Linked DNA regions of Kluyveromyces lactis. The protein of the gene in region 1 binds, or shares a complex with, the protein of each later gene. Links are inferred from orthologs where the notes say so. Each region holds a gene or a part of one and is shown on either strand. Other genes may lie near its edges.

Region 1 (6,805 bases):
GTCGATATCAAGATGCTAAAACAGGATTAGAAGAACCTACTCACTCGAACCCTTTGCATTTTGTTAGGCATTTCAATGGACGGAACACTACACATACCTCGAATCACACAGAAGATCAATCTCAATCAACAGTTTTCACAATGGTGAATAAACAATTCCAACCAAGCATGACAACAATGAATACCGTGGTCAAAGAAGATAATGATATTTCGAATTCAAATAGCAACCATGACAACAAATATAATAAACTGAACGAGGAGTCACTGATGAAAGACGACACTCACAGTCATACTTCTCAAAAGTTCAAAGTACTGCAACAGAGTATGAAAGAGGAGCTATATAACAGTACAACCAAATCATCAAACAAACGAAATAGAAGGTTTATCACTTCCCGACTGTCCTCACTAGGACCTGCCAAACGTAACCTTTCTACAAGTTTCAATGTGGATTCCCCTAGTGAATCCAGGGTTGATAATAGTCAAATCAACAGTAGCATAATAAATGATACATCTAACATTTCCCAGCAAGATATTGAAAATTCGCATACCTCTAATAGTTCTAATACAGGTTACAGGTACCATGACCATAACATTTTTCTAGAGACTCACAGACAACATTCAACACCCAGCCACGATGAGAACAAGGACCCTTCCGCCAATCTGCAACCTAACATCAACTATGAGAATATAGATTTTGGTGATCTCAACCCATACCAGTACCTAAAGAAGTATAATCTTCCCAGTGGTGAGCTTCCGTACATCTCGAAAGTATATTTTGAAAGGCAAAAGGAAGAGAATAGAAAAACCGTGTTGAGAAAGGCCACCTCTGGAACGCTGGCGTTAAAGAGGGAATTCACTCAATATAGGAGAACTCAAACAGCTCGGCAACCACGGAGAAAACACAACTTTGGCACAGATAAAACGTCGTTACAGGATCCGCTTTCTTCTCCATTGCAGAAAAATCAGCTGGTATTCCAGGAGGTAGATCGTGAACTAGCTAACAAACGCGAAGCGCTGAAACCATTAGATGTCAATAATCCATCTAGCAGTCAAGAAGCTAAGCGACCAAAGTACGAAAATGATCATGTACCCGAGGATTATCGACCTCCTTTTTTCTCCCATAGGAAGGCACCATCGCCACATGATTCGAAACCCTTTAAAAAGGTCGAGATAGTGGAACCTCCGAAATCCACTGTTGAAGTTATTCCTTTGAAGTCCGAGGGTTGCGATGTTTCATCAAAACTGAACAAGGGGGATAATTATCTGAACTATAATGGCTCCTTTGATACAAAGAAGAGAACCTCGTATGCTGTTCCAACGATCACAGTGAACGGTACCGCATATGAAAAGGTGGAACTACTCGGCAAAGGTGGATCGGGTAAAGTTTACAAAGTGAAATCTTCTGATCACAAGGTATACGCGTTGAAACGCGTGTCTTTCGATGAATTTGATGAGTCCAGTATTGATGGCTTCAAAGGGGAAATAGAGCTTCTAAAGAAACTAGAAAACAAGCAGCGAGTTGTTAAGTTAATTGACTATCATATGGGACAAGGTGTCTTATTTCTCCTAATGGAATGTGGTGAACATGATCTATCCCAAGTATTGACTCAGAGATCCAAAATACCATTTGATACGGAATTTGTCAGATATCACTTTCAAGAAATGATAAAATGTGTGAAGGTGGTTCACGATGCTGATATTGTCCATTCTGATTTGAAACCCGCAAATTTTGTTTTCGTCAAGGGAATGTTAAAGATAATTGATTTTGGGATTGCGAATGCGGTTCCCGATCACACTGTAAATATTTATCGAGACAACCAGATCGGAACTCCCAATTATATGGCTCCCGAGACTTTGGTTGCAATGAACTTCACAAGGAATGATGGTGAACAAGCCAAATGGAAAGTGGGTAAACCATCAGATGTTTGGTCCTGTGGATGTATCCTCTACCAAATGGTGTACGGAAAACCGCCTTATGGTACGTTCCAGGGAAACAATAGGTTATATGCGATCATGAATCCTGATGTTAAGATTCCTTATCCTGAAAAAGACTCTTTCGGTACAGTGATACCAAGAACTGTTATTGACACTATAAGATCATGTTTGGAAAGAAATCCCATATCTCGTGTTACAATTGACCAGCTATTAAGTGGTGCATTAATTAATCCTGTCACCGTAACAAAATTCTTCATACATGATTTGATAAAAAATGCAGTAAACTATGGTTGCGATCAAAAACATGTCAATAATGAGCGTGTGGAAGAATTATCTGAAGATGTTTGGAACAAACTAGCTGAATTTAAATTATAGATTAATCTATTGCACTGAGGGCAGTACTGGGATAAAGCACTTCTGACATGCCGTCTTTATGGCTTTTTTTCCTGCATTGAATAAAGAAGCAACATATGAATGCTGTGCTCCCATAAGAAGCCAGCAAATGAACCTATGGGTGCATTAATAAGTTTACCTACGTAATACAAATGTACTATTATATAAGAGTTTTAATCATTCATTTATCTTGGTCCAAACTTTGACATTGCAGCAGGACCTATTTCATGCCATTCTTGCTTCGATAACCACATGTGGTCTTTATCGGCCATAATGTTCGCTAAGACGGCACCACCAATGAACACCATATGCTTTCTTCTTGGTGGGTCCTCAATTCTGACCTTGAATTTATCCAAACGTGTGGGATCATTGCGTAGAACCCTTGTAAACCATAGTTGTTTTAGTTCTTTTTCCAACCTTGAAGGTAAACCTGGGTACATGGATGAACCACCAGACAAGACGATAGCTTTATAAAGTGATGTTCTGATATCCACATCTGCTGCTTGTATTGTGTTGAATAAAAGTTCACCCACACCTGGTTGTTCGACATCAACTAAACTTGGTTGGAATAAACACTCTGGTGCCTCGAATCTTTCCGGTCCAACCTTGATGACTCTCCCATCGGGTAATTCATAAGATTCCACTAGAGTAGTCGTCTCTCTTGCTAATTTTGTGTCCAAGTCTAGATCATAAGATACATAACAAAGCTTTTCTTTAATTTGACGAACAGTTTCGAAATCGGCAGTTCTGTTGAATGCATAACCGCGGCGAGACAAAAGGTCAATTAAGTGTCTGGTTACATCTCTCCCAGCAACGTCTAACCTTCTTGTCAAATGATTCAAAACAACGGATTCATAAACAGGAACAATGTGAGTAACACCATCACCGGAATCAACAACGACACCCGACGACAAACCTTGAGCATATAGAGCTAGAACGGCTTGAATTGCAACGTATGTGCCACCAAAATCATACTTCTCGAACATAACTTCACACATTTGTTCTCTGTTTTTAATGGGGTTCATTGGTGGTTCGGTAAGTAGTACCTTACCGCCGGATGTAGTTGGCAATTTCATCTGCTCAAAGAAAGCATAATCCCATAGTAATTCCATATCTGCCCAGTTTCTGATGATACCATTTTCCATTGGGTACGAAATCTGTAAATATGAACGAACTTCACTTGCTTCATCACCAATCATGATATCTTTCAATGGGGTAGAAGCATGACCTCTTTCTTCAGCTCTAAGAATCGGTCTACCTACGATGGATGGGAAGGTGTAATCTGGGAAGTTCTCACCAGCACGGCCAATTTTCACGAAACCAGTACCCTGATCAAGAACAATTGGAGTATGTGGGTCCATTTTCGCTTTATTAATGGGTTGAAGATGCTCACAAATGTCCGTTTGATTTAATTACCCCAGTTCCACTATTAAATCTGATGAAATAAACCTTTATTTCCTCTCTTTCTTTAAGAACATCTCCTATTTCCCAATGTTGTTGATGTCGTTTTTCACGTAAATCATGTGATCATGTTTGTCCATATAGAATTTATCCAGGAGGTATAAAGCTATTGGCACGTCACAAGATAGCCGCTAAATCGTTGGATTTACATGTAAAGCATGTTTTCATATGGTTCAAATGAATCTTATAGTTTGCTTGGATATGTGTTATATGATCTTTTTTATTTCATTGATGAATATGTATAAATTGTGACGGTTTGTGTCAACTTAAATAGATTTTGTGAAGTGATGATTCTTAATAATGTCATGTCAGTACCTAGGTGAGGGCGTTAGTTCTTTTAATCACTTTCGTACGTGTATTCTTTACTGCCGTCCTTTTTTCGTTTTACACTATATTGTGCATTTGCTCCAGTTTCTCCGACGTCTGTAATGAAGCAACATTTCGAAAATGGGCTGAGAGCACGTACATAGATGACCATCGGGGATAACTTAGAATCATCAATGTAGTCACCAGTGAACATCAACAATTCGTCCCCTGGGTTTGCCTTTGTAACGATGTAAACCAATGCAACTGGTTTACGGACTCCCTCAGAACCCATGTTCAATAGCATAAATGAAAAAGCTTGGATGTTTTCGTTATTTCTGACGCTGGAAACAAAAGAGTACGAGTTTGTTACTAACTCCATGTGTCCTGGAACATAAGCTGTATCACTTCCTAAAACTATGGATTTGATGTTGTGTTCGTTTTTATAGAAACTCTCATCTAATCTCGATTTCACAAAGGAAAGAAATCTGTCTGCGTTGGGAAATTCTCCCGATTGAAACTTATCTGTAAATGCTTGAGAGAGCTTGAAGGGGAATCCGCTGAAGTCCTTTAGCTGGGTAAATGACTTGAATTTTGGGACCATTTGCTTCATTATCAATTCTCTCCTTGTGGTGGATGAAAGCTTCATCTTAGTTTGATTGAAAGCATGATCCAAAAGCTGCATAAGTTTCCTGGTTCTAAAAGCTTTGAATTGATACCACCCTATTCCAAATATCACCATCGGGAAAAGCAAAGCAAGTAAGAAAGGCAAAACAAATACTATCATTGTTATGAATCCAGCGAACAGTAACGTGGAAAGAATAAAGGAAAAAGGGCTGATTGAAAAGATAAATCTGGGATTGTTAAAGGGACTTTTTCTGAAAGGATCCCGTCCACCAAGTACCATGTTTCTCGGCGTAGAATGGAAATTTCGAAGCGCCATCTTCACAGGAGAGACCAAAATATTCTGGTTATAATGTAAAAGATTCATCCGGGGATTCAAAGCTGCCAGGAGTGGGAACCGTGGCACCAAATTCACAAACTGACCCGTCTTGACACATCCATGACTAGCAGGACTGTATGCTTTTAACTTTGTCAAGGATTGAAATGGTCGCAGCCCAATCTGTGATTTAACGCACAATTGAAATCGATTTAGGGGAAGCATCTCACAGAAGAATATCACAATGTCTGATGTGCGGAATTGTATTTTCTCAGATTTATACCAATAAGCGATTACTTCTGGTAATGCAAAATGTCTTCATAGTCTTGAAATCTATGAAGCTTCTTAATTTACAAAGGAATTTTATAGGAATTTCAAAGGCCAAATTGTCTATATCATCGCAAACCCCATACTAAGATCGCAGGATGACTTATAATCTGCTTTCTGTTCCTTTAAACTTTTGGAATATTATTACTACATTGTTTAAATAGGAAAAACATGAATAATATATACATATCCGGGTAAACTTTTGTAAACCAATTCGTTGCACATTAATATGAAGACACCATTATAGGGACAAGTCATCCCACTCAGTGGACTAATATCTTATCTCGTATGCTCCTGAATGTGAGATATATTTAATCCATTTCACCGGTTGATAATTCAATTGTGGTTCTTGACATTTCAAGTGTCTCACCACAAGTCCGGAATTACTAAACATTACAATTTCGAAGCCCATTGATATTGGCGGTCTTGACCATCTTAACAAATCAGATAGATCGTGGGAAGTAGCAGGGATTGCCACCTTACCGCTCAGAGTATTTTCTGTAGATCCTTTGTATTTGTTGTATTTCCATACCATGCATTTTTCTCCGGCATCGTACTTACATTTTCCTCCAGAGACGTTAAAATCGCATTTAATCGTGGTTGGGGGCACAGGTATTTTAACTGTTACATCTTTGGCAGAGACATTGGATGGGAAAAGTGATCTTAACGTTACCTTGTAATTGAGTGTAGAGTTCTTCACGATTTCTACCTCCGGTATGACGTTGAATGGGATATTAATGTTATCAATGACACGGTATTGCATCAATTGGAATGGCCCGTCAGGAGGAACGAATTGAATAACGTGGTTGGCCTCGTACTTATTAAGTTGGACACATTGATGGAATTTACAATCTTCTAATATTACAGAGCCTGCAGCCGCATTCGGTATAGCTTTCTTATTCTTAATATCGTACTCGGACATCATTTCAACAATGGACAATTCTGACTTTTCGTTTCCATGAATCGAATATGTGTCATTCAACCCTAGTTGGCATAGAGGCATACCTGATAGATGTGATACACAATCCACGGATCCATCAACAAATGATTTCACAATTGACCCATCTTTACCTACCAATATTGTGATCTTTTCGTTGATATCCAAATATACCTCATTCTTCTTGTATTTCAACCCACTTGGCCTCCAAGGGCATTCAGATAATGAAGACAAGGCAATTGAACTTGAGGACCGCTTTGAAAGCTTTGGAGCCTTTAGAATGTTAGATCCGGATAAGAAATCATCCAAATCGGGAGATTTGCTAATTGTGTTATTCTCTATTGGTTTTCGTGATACTCTTGGTATTATTTGAGCTAAGTCCGTTGTTTGTGGGATGCCGTTCTCCAACGTCAGTTCTAAAATCTCATACAATAACATAAATTCATCCTTTAACACGTCTTCATCGTTAATTCCGAATGCTTCCATTAATTGGTACAACTTGTGTAGGTA
Region 2 (5,021 bases), about 350 kb from region 1:
TAGATGATATTTCGCCCCCTTCATTGAGCACCTGTTGCCTTAAAATTTCGATTTGATCGCTGTTTAATGCAGAATATGAATCCTCCAATTCAGGAAGGTAGTGGATGTTAGTCATACCGCAGTATTTTTTTGAGCTTGTGCGAGTGATTTCAAGATAAAGAAATAACTGCTACCTTCGATCGTTTCAGATGTTGTTAATGATATTGTTTCAAATTCAATGTCAAATTATCAGTTTTAACTTTTCAATTTATTTTTCTTACGTCCGCTAGACATCTCGAAAACGTTTTGATTATATACAAATATATACAGAAAGTCATCTCTGAGAATTGGTACAGAGGCATCGCAATAAGATCAGCAATTGAAGTTCCGTTCCAAATATCAACACTGATAATTGCGGTAATTTATCCGTTGGTTCATTTTTGTCCAGAAAACTTACACTAGAAACATGGAAGATACAACAAAATTGAATACTTCTAAGTTGGGAACTAAGGAATACTGGGACGATTTCTACTCATTAGAGAAACAAAACTTCGAGGAGAACCCTGAGGATACTGGAGAATGCTGGTTCGCTGATAACGATGCAGAGGAGAAAATGGTCGAATTTCTACTAGATAACTTGGGCGAATACAATATCAAAGAAGACAGCTCAATGATTGATCTCGGAACTGGAAATGGTCATCTTTTGTTCACTCTATTGGAGGAAGGTTTCAAAGGTGAAATGATCGGTGTAGATTACTCTGAAAAATCAGTCGAGTTTGCTGCTGAGATTCTCAAGACTAAATACAGCCAAAATGATAACGTAACTTTTGCTACGGCAGATATATTCAATGAACAATGGGCCCCAGGTAAATTCGATGTCGTTCTAGATAAAGGTACACTAGATGCCATCGCATTAAGCGGTATAAAATTTGAAAACAATGAAACCGTGGTAGATGTCTATCCGAAAGTGATAGAGAAGATATTAGGCGAAAACAGTATTCTGTTGATTACATCATGCAATTTTACAGAAGAGGAACTCATAAAGATTATTGAAACAGAGACGTTGAAAAAATGGAAATCGGTAAACTATCCAATATTTGAGTTCGGTGGTGTCAAAGGAACTACAATATGCAGCGTTGCCTTTCTCAAATCTTCTGCTAAATAATCTTAATTAAGGTATTATTCAAAAGGTTTTAAGTAGTGTCAATTTTACAAAGTCTGTTTGAATCAGAAGTAATATGTCCAATTCAATTCTCCAGGATATGAGCATTTACTTTCTCATATAACTCATCTGCTATTTCAGCTTTTCCTGTCCTTAAGGCATACTGGACAGGATTCTTGTTCTCATCAACTGCTAATATTCTGACGAACTTTTCTCCGTTCAGAGAACCTGGGAACCCTTTTTTAATAGAAAATCCTTTTACAAGCGGTAGATTCAATATTACTTTCAATAACCCACGGGATCTCATTACTATTCTCGACTTTTCTGAAACTTCATCTTTATTTAAATGTAGAACACCAATTCCTCTTTCCTTCCAACCATCCTTTATATCGGTAAGCTGATACAGCTTGGCATTTGTTTGGAAGATCGATTCTTCTGTCTCTTCGCCCGATTTGACGTCTTGTTTCGTTAATTTTACTGTTGGCTCTCTTGATTGGGCTGGAGTACTTTCCTTTTTTTCTGATTCGACTGTTTGCTTGTCTTTTGCAACACTATCTTTGGAGGCTACTTTTGCAGCTTTGAATCCAGCACCAAATGATAGACCAGATCCGAACGAGAAACCTGGTTCAACCTTGACGGTGTCCTTATTTCCATCTTTCTCAGTGGTTTTAGCCGCAGGTAAACCAGCAGAAAAAGCATTGGCTGCTCCAAATGGTTTAGTTGCCACTCCAAAGCCAGAAACAAAACTTGAAGATTGGCCAAATGTGAACGATGGTTTTTCCACGTCTTTTTCTGGTTTAGGTTCTGTTTTCTTCCCTTCTATCTCTGCCTTGGCGCCCTCATCTTTTTCCTTGGCCTCTTCTTCTTTTTTATTATTTGTATCTTCTTCTTTTGTTACCGCTGTTTCCGTTGTCTCAGCAGTTTCAATATTTTTAGGTCTCTCTACGGAATTGGCCTCTTCATTTGCTGTATCATTCTCTGTTATGAACTTATCAGTCTCTTCTGAAGGTTTTGCTTCATCTTTATCATTGAGTTTGACCTTCTTCACAGGAGTTTCTGTGCTTTCTAATTCCGAATTCACCTCAGGAAGCGCACGTTTATTGCTATCGTTTAAAGTTTCTGGCATTGTGAAAAGCAGGAACAATATACTGGAGCCTTCTTGACAATATTATAACCCTTTCTTGGCATATGTCTGTGCTTTCAATAAGAACTGAATGTTTAAAACTAGTACTTTCTCTTTTTTTTTTTTTTGGAAATACTAACTCTGAGAGGTCCCAGTAATACTTAATAAAGGGCCTGCACTCCATGTGAACAAAGGCCAAACAAACAAAGATCCGTAATGATCGCCCATTGGTAGGTGAAACTGGATCATATACGTTAGAGTAAATATATCATACTAAATTAAGTAAAATCGTACTGTTATATAGTTCTTTATACAGTTCTTCTATCCGAGAGATAGTGAACGATTGGATTGACACCCGCAACTTGCGTTAACTTTTCGAACCATGCGAGAAGGATACCCCCATGCTTTTGACCCTCAGGTATAGACATACCCTTGTATAGGTATTTTATCAATGCGTCTTGTTGCTTGCGATCCAAGCGCTTAACTATATTAGCAATATCCACTTGTCTCACTTGGGTTAGCACCTCCAATATACCAGAGAAATATTGTGATTTCGCTTGTTCGTCGGCGTTGTATGGAGGATCAGTTGTGAATAGCTCAACAGCAGCTGCAAAATCACCAGATGATGTGTAAGAACGTAACTGTTGAATGGTTGGCTGTAACTCTTGTAAACTCACGGTATGTGAATATGGTGGTTTCAAATCATCCGCCGTTAATCTCCCACTTTCAGGATCGTAAGCATCGATATCAATTCTTCTCCAGTCTTCCATATTACTAGTTCAGAAGGCAGCTGCTTGGATGAATACGATAAGGATAATTCAGCGCTAATGCTTCCTGATAAAAGAAGTAGACCGGCCTGCAGTTATTTCGAGTATTTTAACCTAATCCATTTAAAGGTTTCCATTCAATATGAATCCCATTCAATAGTAACTTATAGGAGATATCCGGGTAATAAATCTGGAAACAGGGTAACTATGGTTTACAGCACTGGACCGATTGACTGTTTATCACTGACAGGAAGAACGATAAGCAGATGATAACATTATCTTCTTATACATATATATTAACTAAGTTCAAATTGATATAGATATACGGGTTATTCTTTGGTGGTTCCGTTTATTGAATAATCTTATTGTCTGGAATACCGTCGTATTCACCGTAACTCAAGGCCAGGTTGATGTTCTGTAAGCATTGAGTGGCAGCACCCTTCAATAAGTTGTCAATAGTAGCACAGACTACGACACGGTCTTTTGCATCATTTACCTTGAAACCACCAACAACTACTCCGTGAGTACCAGAAACGTCCTTAACTAACGGAATATCATCGGCAACATGTACCAACTTTTCGTTAGCGTAGAATTCGGTGTACAAGGCCTTAATTTGTTCTGAAGATAGTGAGTTCTTCTTAATAGGAATAGAAATAGTATGAGAAATACCTTGGAACCATTGGGCAACATGAGGAACAAATGCGACTTCCAAACCCAAACGAGTTGAAATTTCACGCTCATGGATATGGTTTGTTAAGGAGTAAGGAATTAGATTGTTGTTCAAGAATTTTGGATCATTCTTTGGAGATGGTGTAGTACCAGCACCAGAATAACCAGAAACACCAAAGACTGTGGGTAATCCTGTGATGTATTCCGATAGAGGAGCAATCGCTACTTGGGCACCGGTGGCGTAACAACCGGGGTTAGCAATCTTTTTAGCATTGGCAATTGCTTCTCTGTTGTTTAACTCTGGTAATCCGTAGCTCCATTCCGTCTCCGGGACAAATCTATGATCAGCGGATAGATCGACAATTTTGGATTTACCGTTGGCAACCGACTCAATGGCCTCAACGAATGGTTCGCACACTTTGTTTGGCAACGCCATGACCCACACATCGACAGCACCTTCACTTTCTAGTTTCTTTATGTCATCAATTTGTAGATTCGAATAAATAATCTCAGACTTGTTATATCCTTCCAACTTCTTACCAGCGTTTTGACGAGAGGAGACGTGAGATAATTCCAAAAATGGATGTGAGTCTATCAATGAAATAAGATTTTGACCTGTGTAACCTCTGGCACCAATCAAAGCAACTTTAGCAGGGCTCTTGTTAGTGCCTTCTACTTTAGGAGCAGATCTGGCCCTAGTGGAGTAAGATCTGGATGATTGACCACTGGAAAATACACCACTGGAGGAACCAGAGAAGGATGGAGCGGTACCGCTTTCAGGGGAGGTCTTAATGAACTCGGATATTAATTCGGATACAGTGTTCAAATCTTTGACACCATACCAGAATAGAACCTTACCGTTCTTCAAATAGGAACCATCAGATTTGTTGAAATGCCAAGCGATGTTCGCATCATCTTCATTGATCACCCATTGTAGGGCAGGGAAGTCACGTTTCAAAGCTTTGAAAACGTTATCGGTGACGTTATTCAACCAGCCGGTCTGGGAACATAGGAATTTATCTAGTTTTGCCACCACAGAATCTTTCTTGACAATGGCAAGAACATCTAGTGGTTCATCAGCGTAAGAAGTGAAATCTGATTCGTTCAAGTCTCTCAAATAAGAAGCAACTGATTGAGCACCGGATTGGATGTCTGGGTCACTTTGTAAGATATCTCTCAAAGCGTCAGAGGATGGGAATTCCTGTAAAGTAGATCTTCGAATTAACTTGTAGCCTCTTCTAATCAAAGTACCTGCACCAGAATCGGTGAACAATTCTTTTTGCAAATCTTGAACATTGATGATGGCCACGGACGAAGATCT
Region 3 (4,941 bases), on another chromosome or scaffold:
TCCATGATTTCTCCCAAAATAATGCTTAAGGACACCATTTGTCTGAACAGTAGTTTTCCACTATTGAAGTCTTCATCAGTTGGTGAAATGTCAAGTATGGAAGAGTTCCCAATGGGACCTAGAGGCCTATGCGACGGTTGTTTATTGCGTTGACTACTGGTTATTATTGGCGATTTATCAGGGAAGTCGTCTTCTGTAAGAAGCTTAACCATCCAGTTCCGACCTAAAATTAGATGCGAATTCCTAGATTCCAGAAGGGCTGTCCATTTATCTTGAGCCCAGACGGCCCATGCTAATCGCCTTCGTAGTCCACGTTCCCAGCGAGGTAATCTCCAGTCTTGACAATCAACACCGAGGCCAAGTTCCTCTGACAAAGCAACAACTTCCGAACATAGTACCCAATTGTTGGGACATTCACTACGACAATGCAAAATTAGTAAACCTGCTTGGACAATGCTTAATTTGGGTCTTTCAAACACCTCGTAGAAAGTTTTTAATGCAATATCATTCAATTGATTCGCAACATCTGGTTTAGGAAAACCAATCAATTGCGGGTGGAAATCCCACCATTGTAAAGCTAGGGAATAAATGGATGCAAGAATTGGCGCCGTGAGTTCACGATAAGATCTTGAGTACTTCTCCAAAAATACTCGTTCGTGTAGAATGGGAAAGTAAGGATGAATCAGTTTAAAGAAAATTTCAACCAATATTTTACCATGAGGATGCACTAGTTTTTCCACTAAATCTATATCACGTTCTTGCTTCAAGTAAAGTTCTTGATTAAAATCGTCTCTTAAGATGAACTGTGCATTGGGAGATACCTTGCGTAGTGCGACATTTTTTGATAATTGCACTTGCTCAATCTTGTCTAGTTTCATGTGATTGATTAGATTAATATCGAAGATGGATGTCGGGCCCACAAAATAGGAAGACCTGGGATATTGAATGGAAGACTGAGCATAATTAATTTGACGTTGTATGCTCTGTTGACCAGAAGTTAGCGGTTGCTGCTGTTGTGGTTGACCTGAGTTCATTCCGTAATTGAACTGATTGAAAGCATAAAGTGACGAGGGGGATGCCTTTTGTGCTGCACCGTTGTTGAACTCTGACGCATTCCTTTGATAGGGATATGGAGGTTGTTCATAACTTGTCTGAGATTTGTACCAATTCTGAATTGCGTCATTGTAGTATTGTATCGGCAGATTGTTAGCGCTATCACTGGTAAGCTCATTATTAGGCGTGTTACTGTTGCTATTATTACCACCGGCGTTGTTAATATTATTGTTGATATTATTGTTATTATTATTACTATTAGGGTTACTGTTATTAATATTTGTGTTACTGTTTTTATTTTGATTATTATTGCTAAACTTAGTACGTTTCAACAATTCATGCACATTTATGTTCTCATCCACTCTATCACGTTTGTTCATCTGTTTTTGTAGCACATCCGCCGCCACTTTCCCACTCGGTAACTCCGAGAATGTACACTTGATCCCCTTCGTATCACATGGAACACAACTGTCGGATTCAGGGGGAACGATACATTTCGTGCGTCTCCTCCTACAATGATCACATGGCTTCTCTGTTAGCGTATTTTGTGTCCTTACAGAAACGTTAGGAGATGGTGCACCATTTGTACCGCTTGATGGGACAAACTGTGGAGAATTCGCTGAGCTGTTAGATCTGTTCAATAATTCTTGATAATGTTGCAATAACATATCCAACGACCCTTTGTCCATCCCTGAAGAACTCTTATCTTGCTGCTGTGGCTGAGACTGTATTTTATCCGGACTACTATTATTACCGTTAGTCAGATTATTCAGAATACTCGTATAATCATCATTGAAATTCAACATGGAGTTATTATGATTTTTAAACCCACCAATATTATCACGTTCTTCATTCTCTTCACGCGCATTATCATTATCATCATCGCCATTATCAACTACAGCATTTAAGTTACCGCCATTACCACTAGTAGTATTGGTACCCGAAACCTTATTCTTCAAGTTAATGTTTCTTGGAGAGCTCGACGCAGACGCCGAACCTGCTTCAACTGAAGTGGTCTCCTTACCAGTTCTAATACTGTTCCCAGCGTCCTCAGGGTTCCCTGTACCAGAATCCACATCTTCAGAAGAATCGGCCTTCCAGAGAGAGTCACCACCATTAACGGATGCTGCGCTTCCACTCATCGCGCTCTTTGATAAACCTGTCGAAACCTTGATATACAAAAGCAAAGAGAATAGTAAAGACAGACTCTATCTCAAACGCTTTACACCACAAAATCCTTCAGTACAAGAGACTTGCACCCTAAAACTACCGAATCTAGTCACTTGAAGCAGCCAAATACGCGTCCAAGGTCCCTAAATCACCGTCCGATGCGTTATCAACAAACAAACGTTTATCTTTTCCTCAGTACGTTTCCATTTATTAACCTTCTTTGTTGGTTTCGAAAAATCTCATATAGCCGGGTAACAAACCAATGGAACTAGGAACGGTTCACGTGATCATAATACTTTGTTTAACTATACATGGACTATACATCTATATATCCACGAGAGTTGGCAATCTAGTAGACGAATTGTTCCAAGTACGCTTCTGCTGCGAATCTAGCTCTGGCGTTCAAGAACAATTTCATTTCAGAGATTTCTTTGTCGACCTCTTCCATGAAGTCGATGATGAATTCGATCAATTTCTCGGTAATCATAGTCTCGGTGTGTTTATTTGTGATCAAGAAAGAGATACTATACCCAGGCACTGGGACACGTCTTAGCACGTAAAAATTCTCTGCTCTTTGTTCGAGGAAACTGGTGAATTTGTGTACCAAAATTTGTTCAATCTCATCTGCTTGTTTCACTTTAATACTCATACGGACGGAGTTGACACTTGGTTCGATTAGAACTTGTTCGTGTTCATTACGTGCGATATGCATAGGTTGTAATAGAAGTTCTGCACTTGTATTGTCCACTTCGACCTCAGGTCTGTTGTGTCTTTCCACTTCTTGAGAGGAGAAGTTTGATAGATTCAAAGCAGCTTGCAATGAGTAACGCACTGCTGTTAAGTATGGACGTAGCGATTGAGACATTTTTCCTTCACTTATTAACTGATGGGTTGGAGAACTGCAGCTTTTACGGTGACAATGGCCAAAAGATGGGGTTGCAAACCTGTCTTTATTCAACGTTATCGGTTGTGATTTGGTTCAAATAGGGTCAAAAGAATTAATTCTGAATGAAATTTCAGCACATTAACTGGACCAATGTAAGAAAGAAGACACGGAAAACTAGAAATTGCTGGGTCAAATGAGGCCATTGGATGCCAAAAACTGTGGAAATGATGGAAGGGAATCATCAGGCTTATTTTGTCCTAAGTTTCAGGTCTGATGGAGGCATTGATCCCACGTTATAGCATTCTTACCACAGCTTAATACAATCAGGGTAACAAGGTTTATGATCTAATATTATGAATTGAAATCTCAATCCAAATGATTTAAACTGTGTTAGCGATGGGATGAGGGGATGAGACGACCATCAGTTATCCAAGTGTCTAGATAGCAATTCTCCAGCCAGAAACATTTTAATTTCAAATGTCCTGGCAAGAGACCAAAGATCCTCAAGGAAGAGTCTATTATTATAATGATACAGGACAGACCACTTGGGAAAAACCAGAAGAGCTATTCACCGAGTTTGAAAGGAAGCTGCTGAAATATGGTTGGAAAACTGCTCTTGCAGAGGATGGTAGGGTTTATTATTACAAGTCAGACACAGGAGAGACTACGTGGAACGTGCCGGTTTTTGAGAACGATGATAACCGTGATGAGAGAAGTATACCAACCAAATCGTCTGGCAAAGCTGGGCAACCGGATACTGCATCGGCAGCTGACACCAACTCTACACAGGTAGAAAGTGGAAAAGATGTAGATGTACAAAAAATCTTGAAAGATAGCGAGAACAAATACAAAAACGAATCAGAACTTTTGGTTGTACGAAAGGCTCCATCAAAGGAAGAAGCCGAGAAGGTGTTTTTGCAAATGTTACAAGATAACGAAGTGGATTCTACATGGTCGTTCAATAGGATTATTCGCGAAATTGGGAACAAAGATCCGCATTATTGGATCATAGATGATGACCCATTGTGGAAACAATCAATGTTTGACAAGTTCTTGTCGAACAGAACAGAATCGGAGTTGATTAAAGAGCATCAACATTTGGAAAAATTCGAACAGGCCTTTATAGAAATGCTTGAGAAATTGCCCAACATTCGTTACTATTCGCGTTGGAAAACTATCAAGAGGCAGATAATGAATGAACCTATTTACAAGCATTCTGTCATTGATGAGAAACAGAAAAAGCGTACGTTCCAAAGGTACATATCTTCATTACAGCATGAACACGAAGCACAGCATACCAAAGTTAGAAACGAGGCATTAAAAGAATTGAATCTGTATTTTGTTAGCATATCCGATGATATTGACCCCAGCAACTTACCATGGAGCAAATTCGCTACAAAATATCTATGGGGATCACCAAGATTCGATTCAAATAAGAACTTCGTATCAATTACAAGGAGTGATGTTTTCAAAATTTACATTACCTTTGTTGAGTCAAAGATGGCTGAACTCAAAACGGAAATGGAAGGTTTGCGTTCTAAGAATTTCAGATCAGATAGAAGGGCAAGAGACCAATACAAAGCTCTTCTCGACGAATTATCACCATACATTAAATGTAACAGTACATGGAAAGATATATATCCATTGTTGAAAAGTGATAGGAGATTTACGAACTTGCTTGGAAGAGACGGATCATCGGCATTGGATTTATTTCTTGATAGAGTTGATGAAGCCGAACTAGTTTTGAAAGCCAAATGTTCGGTAGCGAATCAAGTAATTATCTCAAAGGGTTTAGATTTTGATCACAATTCTTCCGATGAGATTCGAAACTT

What was found. Proteins that work in one complex are often made in the same cells at the same time.
Region 2: ARP2 (region 1) and ARC15 share a complex: the UniProt entries of both Saccharomyces cerevisiae proteins name them as parts of the arp2/3 complex. The link is inferred for Kluyveromyces lactis from reciprocal best matches to the Saccharomyces cerevisiae genes ARP2 and ARC15.
Region 3: ARP2 (region 1) and ARC19 share a complex: the UniProt entries of both Saccharomyces cerevisiae proteins name them as parts of the arp2/3 complex. The link is inferred for Kluyveromyces lactis from reciprocal best matches to the Saccharomyces cerevisiae genes ARP2 and ARC19.

Annotation. Positions count from the first base shown.
Region 1 is NC_006039.1:349,260-356,064, forward strand, and holds ARP2 (actin-related protein 2), read right to left. Parts: upstream 3,689-6,805; coding exon 2,513-3,688; downstream 1-2,512. Other genes in the region: serine/threonine/tyrosine protein kinase MPS1, read left to right, coding at 1-2,309; MRX9 (Mrx9p), read right to left, coding at 4,126-5,256; APM4 (Apm4p), read right to left, coding at 5,630-6,805. UniProt on the Saccharomyces cerevisiae protein: Functions as ATP-binding component of the Arp2/3 complex which is involved in regulation of actin polymerization and together with an activating nucleation-promoting factor (NPF) mediates the formation of branched actin networks.
Region 2 is NC_006039.1:697,641-702,661, forward strand, and holds ARC15 (Arc15p), read right to left. Parts: upstream 3,035-5,021; coding exon 2,573-3,034; downstream 1-2,572. Other genes in the region: FIS1 (Fis1p), read right to left, coding at 1-115; EFM4 (Efm4p), read left to right, coding at 446-1,144; YRB2 (Yrb2p), read right to left, coding at 1,227-2,267; ARG56 (bifunctional acetylglutamate kinase/N-acetyl-gamma-glutamyl-phosphate reductase), read right to left, coding at 3,381-5,021. UniProt on the Saccharomyces cerevisiae protein: Functions as a component of the Arp2/3 complex which is involved in regulation of actin polymerization and together with an activating nucleation-promoting factor (NPF) mediates the formation of branched actin networks.
Region 3 is NC_006041.1:1,623,507-1,628,447, forward strand, and holds ARC19 (Arc19p), read right to left. Parts: upstream 3,089-4,941; coding exon 2,573-3,088; downstream 1-2,572. Other genes in the region: DAL81 (Dal81p), read right to left, coding at 1-2,195; snoRNA-splicing protein PRP40, read left to right, coding at 3,587-4,941. UniProt on the Saccharomyces cerevisiae protein: Functions as actin-binding component of the Arp2/3 complex which is involved in regulation of actin polymerization and together with an activating nucleation-promoting factor (NPF) mediates the formation of branched actin networks.